Ovis aries: one gene and its partner. The protein of the gene in region 1 purifies or fractionates together with the protein of each later gene. This does not show direct contact. Links are inferred from orthologs where the notes say so. Each region holds a gene or a part of one and is shown in the gene's direction. Other genes may lie near its edges.

Region 1 (3,549 bases):
CACTGGGGAGCTTTATCTGTAGAAAGAGCTGGAAAGCCAGGCCCTTCCTTGCGACCTCATCTGATTTCTTTCTTTCTTAAAAAAAAAATCACAGAGGGGTTTTTTGGTTGGACAGTGTGAAACCCAGTGGTGTCGTCGGCTGACACAGAAATCTATCTGGGGGAGGGGAGACTCTGGCTTCAGATAAAGGGGAGCCCTCAGCCAGGGGAGGGCTTGAAACCGCCCGCCGCTTCTCTCCCAGGGCGGCTCCCAGGCCCTTGCGCCCCCTACTGGTGGATGCTCAGATGGCGCCCGTTGTGACTGCAGGAGGCTGGTCTGGGCAGGCAGGGATGAGGTCTGGGTGTCCCCCGCCCAGTTCCAGAGCTGGGTCCAGAGTCCCCGGTCTCGGCAGGAGCAAGGGCCCTCTCTGCTGTGACATGCTGCTCCTATGGCCCAGGGGGACCCGTGACCAGGCCGTTGGGTCCGGGTCGTCCTGAGCCACGCCTCCACCCCTCCAGATGGGGAAGGGCTCCTTCAAGTATGCCTGGGTACTGGACAAGCTGAAGGCAGAGCGGGAACGCGGCATCACCATCGACATCTCCCTCTGGAAATTTGAGACCACCAAATACTACATCACCATCATCGACGCCCCAGGCCACCGCGACTTCATCAAGAACATGATCACAGGCACATCCCAGGTGGGCAGGGCTTCGGGGGTCTGGGGGATCTGGAGGTGGGGCAAGGACACCATTTAGGAGACCCTGGGGGCCCTAGAATGAGCGGTGGTTGGATTTCCTCTGCTTCCTCACCAGGGCATGAGACCCCTCACCTTTGTCACCACTCACCCCTCAAAGAATTGAGTAAGCGCCCCAGCATCTCAGCCAGACAAGAGTGCCTATAAGGTCAGCTGGCCACTGTCAAGGCCGACTTCACAGACAAGTGGACACAGAGGCCAGGATGGGGACACTGAATGTAGGCAGAAATGCACCACCTCCCCGCCCCAGACAATTCAACATCGCCAGGGCATTCACACAGACACACACTGCCTCTAAGGGCGAGACCCCCAGGTTCTATCCCCAGGTGACTGCCCAGGCCCATGTCCACTGCCCTGAGGGGCCCAAGCTCACCCTGCCTGACCTTCCGGACAGGCGGACTGCGCCGTGCTGATCGTGGCTGCAGGAGTGGGTGAGTTTGAGGCAGGCATCTCTAAGAATGGGCAGACCCGGGAGCACGCGCTGCTGGCCTACACGCTGGGCGTGAAGCAGCTCATCGTGGGGGTGAACAAGATGGACTCCACGGAGCCCGCCTACAGCGAGAAGCGCTATGATGAAATTGTCAAGGAGGTCAGCGCCTACATCAAGAAGATCGGCTACAACCCGGCCACCGTACCCTTCGTGCCCATCTCAGGCTGGCACGGCGACAACATGCTGGAGCCCTCACCCAACGTGAGTGCCCGGCAGTGGCAGGGCTGCTCTCCAAGGGCCCTGGGTCAGGACGAGCACAGATGGCCAGTGGGGGTCAGGGAGCTGTCCCCAGGCTGCCCTCAGCCCTATGACTGTTGTACTAGCCTTCTGTGGGTGTTGGGCTGGAACTACAGCCTCCTTGGGTACAGGCACTCTGCCCTCAGCTCAGTTTCCCCAGGAGGCTGGCCCCTTCTGCTGCAGCCCCTTCTCTGGCCAGGGACAGCCCCAGATTGACACTGTGGGGGCAGTGGCCGCAGGGGCCCAGGCTAATCTGCCCACTTCTGGCTGTGGGGTGCATGGGGTTGGGGGAGGTGGGCGCTATGAAGGTGCCTTCTTCTTCCTGCCCAGATGCCCTGGTTCAAGGGCTGGAAAGTGGAGAGGAAGGAAGGGAATGCCAGTGGCGTGTCCCTTCTGGAGGCCCTGGACACCATCCTGCCCCCCACACGCCCCACAGACAAGCCCCTGCGTCTGCCACTGCAGGATGTGTACAAGATTGGCGGTGAGTGAGGTCCACATGGCCACTGCCCGCTGCATTGCCCCTGCCCACCTGGCCAGCTCGCCCTCAGACCCCCTCCTGAGAACCGGCCCCAGACCAGGAGCATCCAGGGCCCAGTTATTTCTGCCCCTCCCACCATGCTGCACACTTTCTGGGGGACCATTCATCCACCTGTCTTCATCCATCCATCCATCCATCCATCCATCTGCTCATCCATCTATCCCAAGACTGCCGGGGTCTTCCTCCCTCCAAATAAGTGTCAGCCCTATGCCAGCACCAGTGGCACAGGGAAAGTCATTTATCACCCTCCACCTGGAAGTCTCCGTCTTGCAGGAGACACCATCCACTCTAGGAATGAGAAGAGCTGGTCACACAATGATGCAAACACATAAACAAGTGTGAGGCCCACAGGGGGCCACAGTGGGGGACTCCCAGCCAGGAGTCTGTGGCCAGAGATGCTGAGGACCTGGGTGCAGGTGGAGTATCACACTCACCCAGCACAGAGCACAGCCATCAGCCTCCTTAATGCCGCAGGAGCCTCTGCCACAGCCAGGGAAGCCAGGCTCGAGCCCCCTGCCCCCTGTCTTGGGGGGGCATCACACCCCCACTGTTTGGCCACACGGCGTAAGCAGATCCTGAGAAGTGTGGGGGCACCATGCCCCCTTGGGACTCACCCCTGAGATGGCAGCACCAGTGCCAGGTGGGCCACCCCGGGGGGGCTGGTCCACAGCCCGCTTAATGATGCTGTCTCACAAGGAGGGCCCCATGCTGCCTCCTGTTGGGACACTTGCCCCTGGGGGTAGAGATGGGGCCTCTCCTGCCTGTGTTCCCTGTGTTCTGGGAACTTGCTTCCTCAGGCACTTTTACTCCAGATGGGGCAGGAGAAAGATCTCCACCTCTGTCTGTAGGTCCCAGGGTCCGCCTTGCCCAGGGCCTCCCATCCCCTCCCTCCCACCACATGGCCACTCCCTGCCTGCTAGGGAGGACAGGGCACCCCTGGCCTCAGCGTGCCCTCACAGCCCCCTTCCTCTCGGCCTAGGCATTGGCACCGTGCCTGTGGGCCGAGTGGAGACAGGGATCCTGCGGCCTGGCATGGTGGTGACCTTTGCACCCGTGAACATCACCACGGAGGTGAAGTCAGTGGAGATGCACCACGAGGCTCTGAGCGAGGCCCTGCCTGGGGACAATGTCGGCTTCAACGTGAAGAACGTGTCAGTCAAGGACATCCGCCGGGGCAACGTGTGTGGGGACAGCAAGTCTGACCCACCCCAGGAAGCCGCCCAGTTCACGTCCCAGGTGGGCAGCCCGGTGGCCAGCAGGGCCTACCCCAGGCAGTACCAGGGCTATCCTCAGCAAGGGGGCTGCTGGGTGCCAGGGAGGACTGAGATCCTCGCTTTGCAGAGCAGGTCCCCAAGGACAGGGAACCTTCCTTTGCAGGCAGGAAGAGCGGGCAGGGTGCTCCTAGCCTCACTGAGTCCCCGCTCTGGTCCTGAAAAGGCTGTTCTCAGTTTACTGCTGGAACAGGCCTGTGGTACTTTGTTCTCTACATGCTTACTGTGCCCTCTTTGGTCACCTCTGTACATGAGTAGGATTTTTTAATTGGCTTTACTG
Region 2 (4,425 bases), on another chromosome or scaffold:
CCACAAGGCCTCCTGTCACCCCAGACAGCGACGACGAGGTGGTAGTGGCAACCACTCGGATCGAGACGATGCTGGGAGATGTGGCTGTAGCTGTGCACCCCAAAGACCCCAGATACCAGGTGTGGTGGGGGTGCTGCCCGCAGCTGGGGGGAAGAATGCTGGGCTAGGAGGGCTTCTACACTATGTGTAGGGATGGGATGGGCACTGAGAAAATTGGATTCGAAACACATGGCTCTGGCTGCTTTCTGGCCCTGTGGATGGAGTTTGGGTGTCAAGAAATCAGGACCCTGCGTAGGAGGGAGTCGGGCCCAGCCCACTGTGCGTTTCTGGCGTCTCCCTCTGTCCCCAGCACCTGAAGGGCAAGAGCGTGATCCACCCATTTGTGTCTCGGAGCCTCCCCATCGTCTTTGATGACTTTGTGGACATGGAGTTCGGCACAGGTAAGCGCTGGGCTGTCCTGTGGGGACAGGAAGGAACCATGAGGTGCACCTGAACTTGCAGGACTTGGGCCGGTTCTCAGGGGACTGTGTCGGGGATGGGGTGGTCTGAGAGTACATCCATTAGCAAAAGGTGGGGTGCACGTGAGCAGAGACTGCACTGAGTCCTACTTGACCCTGCACCCCTACGTACACCCCAGGCGCGGTGAAGATCACCCCCGCCCATGACCAGAATGACTATGAGGTTGGGCAGCGGCACGGGCTGGAGGCCGTCAGCATCATGGACGCCCGCGGGGCCCTCGTCAACGTGCCCCCACCTTTCCTGGTGAGACAGCCTCGGCGAGGTAGCCATGTCAGGAGACAGCGGGGCTCCTGGCACAGCCATGACGGAGCCTGTCTCCCCCACAGGGCCTGCCCAGGTTTGAGGCCAGGAAGGCAGTGCTGGCAGCGCTCAAGGAGCAGGGGCTGTTCCGCGGCATTGAGGACAACCCCATGGTGGTGCCACTTTGCAAGTGAGGGCAGAGGCCAGGGCAGGGGGTGGGCGCCTCGGGGTGCTCCCCACTCAGCCTCCTCACCCACGTGTACCTGCAGCCGCTCCAAGGACGTGGTGGAGCCTCTGCTGCGGCCACAGTGGTACGTGCGCTGTGGGGAGATGGCTCAGGCTGCCAGCGCTGCCGTGACACGGGGTGACCTCCGTATCCTGCCGGAGGCCCATCAGCGGACGTGGCATGCCTGGATGGACAACATCCGGTGCGTCAAGCCCCTTGATGTAGAGAGGGCAACCAGGCGAGGGACCGAGCCGGGCACACCCTGGCGCCCCGCCCGCCCCTCCTTCATGCCCTCTCCTCCCTCTGCCACTTTCAGGGACTGGTGTATCTCCCGGCAGCTGTGGTGGGGCCATCGCATCCCAGCCTACTTCATCACTGTCAACGACCCTGCCGTGCCCCCAGGGGAGGTGAGAACCAGGCCGGGGCTGGAGACTGGCACATCTGGGGTTGGGGAGGGCTTTCAGTGCATTGGGTCTTGGTGGGGGGACAGGCAGAGGTGCCCTCTTGGGTACTCATTCCACCTGGGCATGGCAGGACCCTGATGGGCGGTACTGGGTGAGCGGGCGCACTGAGGCTGAGGCCCGGGAGAAGGCAGCCAAGGAGTTCGGCGTGTCCCCTGACAAGATCAGTCTCCAGCAAGGCAAGGCAGGGCCGTGCGGTGGGGGGCAGTGGGGGGCTGATCCTCACCTCTACCCCTCTGACTTCTGACCTCTGGCCCCCCTCAGATGAAGATGTACTGGACACCTGGTTCTCCTCTGGCCTCTTCCCCTTCTCCATCCTAGGCTGGCCCAACCAGGTACATTCCTGGGGCCAGCCCAGGGCTGGGTGGGAATCTTGGGTGTGGGTGCGTGGCTCCCCATCACTCATGCCCTGCTCTGACCCCAGTCAGAAGATCTGAATGTGTTCTACCCGGGGACGCTGCTGGAGACAGGCCATGACATCCTCTTCTTCTGGGTGGCCAGGATGGTCATGCTCGGCCTCAAGCTCACTGGCAAGCTGCCCTTCAAAGAGGTGTGGAGACTGCCGCTACCCCCACAGTCCCCTCCCTCACCTGGACAGCTGTGGGTGGGCTCAGCCAAGGAGGCTGGTGGGGCTGCAAACCAGCCTGCGCGCTGCTAAGCAATTCTGTACCTTGCTTCCTAGAAGAGGGAGCACTTCTGATTCACGAGAAGGGGCTGGCGGGGCCGCTGAGGGGCCCGAGGTTCAGAGAGGAGCAGACCAGATGTAGGGGTGAGGGGAGAGGCATTGGGGTCTAGGTGGGGAGATGTCCTCACAGGCCTTCCCTGCCCTGACCTCGCAGGTCTACCTCCATGCCATTGTGCGGGACGCCCACGGCCGGAAGATGAGCAAGTCTCTAGGCAACGTCATTGACCCCCTGGACGTTATCCATGGGGTCTCCCTGCAGGTGGGGCTGGGTGCTGGGTCAGGCCGGGAAGGGCTGTGGGGCAGTGGTCACGGGCCCCTGACTGCTCCCACGTCACCTTCAGGGCCTCCACGACCAGTTACTGAACAGCAACCTGGATCCCAGCGAGGTGGAGAAGGCAAAAGAGGGGCAGGTACAGGGGGCAGATACAGGGGTGGGCCAGTGGCTGGCATGTGGGCAGAAGGCGGGTGAGACTGGCTTAGGACACTCCCCTCCTTGACTCCTCCTCTGTTGATTCCTCCCTCTCCGTTGACTCTTCCTTCCCCCACAGAAGGCAGATTTCCCGACGGGGATCCCTGAGTGTGGCACCGATGCGCTCCGGTTTGGACTGTGCGCCTACACGTCCCAGGGTATGGCTCCCTGCGGCAGTCTTAGCTGCATCCTTCTTCCTCCCCGGAGGCACCCCACTTTCCGCTGCCCAGGGCCCAGGGCTGGGAGGGAGAGCAGTGTAGACTCACGCTTCACCTCCGCCTAGGCCGTGACATCAACCTGGATGTGAACCGGATATTGGGGTACCGCCATTTCTGCAACAAGCTCTGGAACGCCACCAAGTTTGCCCTCCGTGGCCTTGGGAAGGGTTTCGTGCCCTCGCCCACGTCCGAGGTGAGAGCCTGGTGGGCCGTGCGGTGGGCAGCACCCACGTGGGTCACACTCTTGCCATCCCAGCATCAAGCCTGGCCCCTGCCCTAAGGAGCCTGCGTGTAGCTGGGGGAGCAGGACACAGGGGAAGCCTCAGGCACTGCAGTCCTCCCGCACAGTGGCGCAGCCGGCCCTCTCTGGCCTGGGCCACCACTCTGGGCACGTGGTGGTTGCTTTGGACCCATCTCCTCCTGGAATGCAGATTCCCCATGGTTCCCATTCCCATGGGGTTGTGGCCCCTCCTCCTGGGCACATGGTGCCCCCTGGCTGACAGGCTCCTCTCCCCCCCCGCAAGCCTGGAGGCCACGAGAGCCTGGTGGACCGCTGGATCCGCAGCCGGCTGACCGAAGCTGTGAGGCTCAGCAGCCAAGGTTTCCAGGCCTACGACTTCCCGGCTGTCACCACCGCCCAATACAGCTTCTGGCTCTACGAGCTCTGCGATGTCTACCTGGTGAGGAGGAGCTGCCTGCCCCACTTCCTGGTCCTTGGCCTTCTCCAGCCCTGAACCCTGTGCCCCTCTGTCCCCAGGAGTGCCTGAAGCCCGTGCTGAATGGGGTAGACCTAGTGGCAGCCGAATGCGCCCGCCAGACCCTCTACACCTGCCTGGACGTGGGCCTGCGGCTACTCTCACCCTTCATGCCCTTCGTGACCGAGGAGCTGTTCCAGCGGCTGCCCCGGCGGACACCACAAGCTCCCCCTAGCCTATGCGTCACCGCCTACCCAGAGCCCTCGGAGGTATGGGGTATGGCCTGGATACGGGGCTCTGGGGAGCTCCTCAGAGCTGCCCCAGCTTCCTTACCCCCTTCTCCTCCCCTCAGTGCTCCTGGAAGGACCCTGAGGCAGAAGCTGCCTTCGAGCTGACCCTGAGCATCACTCGAGCCGTGCGCTCCCTGCGTGCCGACTACAACCTCACCCGGATCAGGCCCGACTGTGAGCCTTGGGCCCACACGTTCCCCTGTTCCCTCCCACCCCGGGACCAGTGTCTAGCATGACTGCCTCGTCTTCCATCTCCTCACCTGTCTCCCTTCCCCCGGCAGGTTTCCTGGAAGTGGCTGACGAGGCCACAGGTGCCCTGGCATCGGCGGTGTCGGGCTACGTGCAGACGCTGGCCAGTGCGGGGATCGTGGCCGTCCTGGCGCTGGGGGCTTCTGCACCCCAGGGCTGCGCTGTGGCCCTGGCCTCTGACCGCTGCTCCGTCCACCTGCAGCTGCAGGGGCTAGTAGACCCAGCCCGGGAGCTGGGCAAACTGCAGGCCAAGCATGATGAGGCGCAGCGGCAGGCCCAGCGTCTGCGGGAGCGCCGCGCCGCCTCAGGCTACACTGTCAAGGTGCCCCTCAAAGTTCAGGAGGCAGATGAAGCCAAGGTGTGTGGCATGTGG

Evidence for each region.
Region 2: the proteins of EEF1A2 (region 1) and VARS1 purify together in Homo sapiens (co-immunoprecipitation; 3 studies listed by BioGRID and IntAct, counting the BioPlex papers as one, with this or other methods). This does not show direct contact. The link is inferred for Ovis aries from reciprocal best matches to the Homo sapiens genes EEF1A2 and VARS1.

Annotation. Positions count from the first base shown.
Region 1 is NC_056066.1:53,857,317-53,860,865, forward strand, and holds part of EEF1A2 (elongation factor 1-alpha 2), read left to right. Parts: intron 1-497; coding exon 498-677; intron 678-1,127; coding exon 1,128-1,424; intron 1,425-1,790; coding exon 1,791-1,941; intron 1,942-2,977; coding exon 2,978-3,234; intron 3,235-3,549. UniProt on the Homo sapiens protein: Translation elongation factor that catalyzes the GTP-dependent binding of aminoacyl-tRNA (aa-tRNA) to the A-site of ribosomes during the elongation phase of protein synthesis.
Region 2 is NC_056073.1:26,623,404-26,627,828, forward strand, and holds part of VARS1 (valine--tRNA ligase), read left to right. Parts: intron 1-24; coding exon 25-119; intron 120-349; coding exon 350-440; intron 441-637; coding exon 638-762; intron 763-845; coding exon 846-949; intron 950-1,028; coding exon 1,029-1,187; intron 1,188-1,301; coding exon 1,302-1,392; intron 1,393-1,519; coding exon 1,520-1,625; intron 1,626-1,710; coding exon 1,711-1,781; intron 1,782-1,870; coding exon 1,871-1,996; intron 1,997-2,285; coding exon 2,286-2,390; intron 2,391-2,472; coding exon 2,473-2,541; intron 2,542-2,679; coding exon 2,680-2,758; intron 2,759-2,883; coding exon 2,884-3,011; intron 3,012-3,342; coding exon 3,343-3,498; intron 3,499-3,575; coding exon 3,576-3,782; intron 3,783-3,865; coding exon 3,866-3,977; intron 3,978-4,084; coding exon 4,085-4,410; intron 4,411-4,425. UniProt on the Homo sapiens protein: Catalyzes the attachment of valine to tRNA(Val).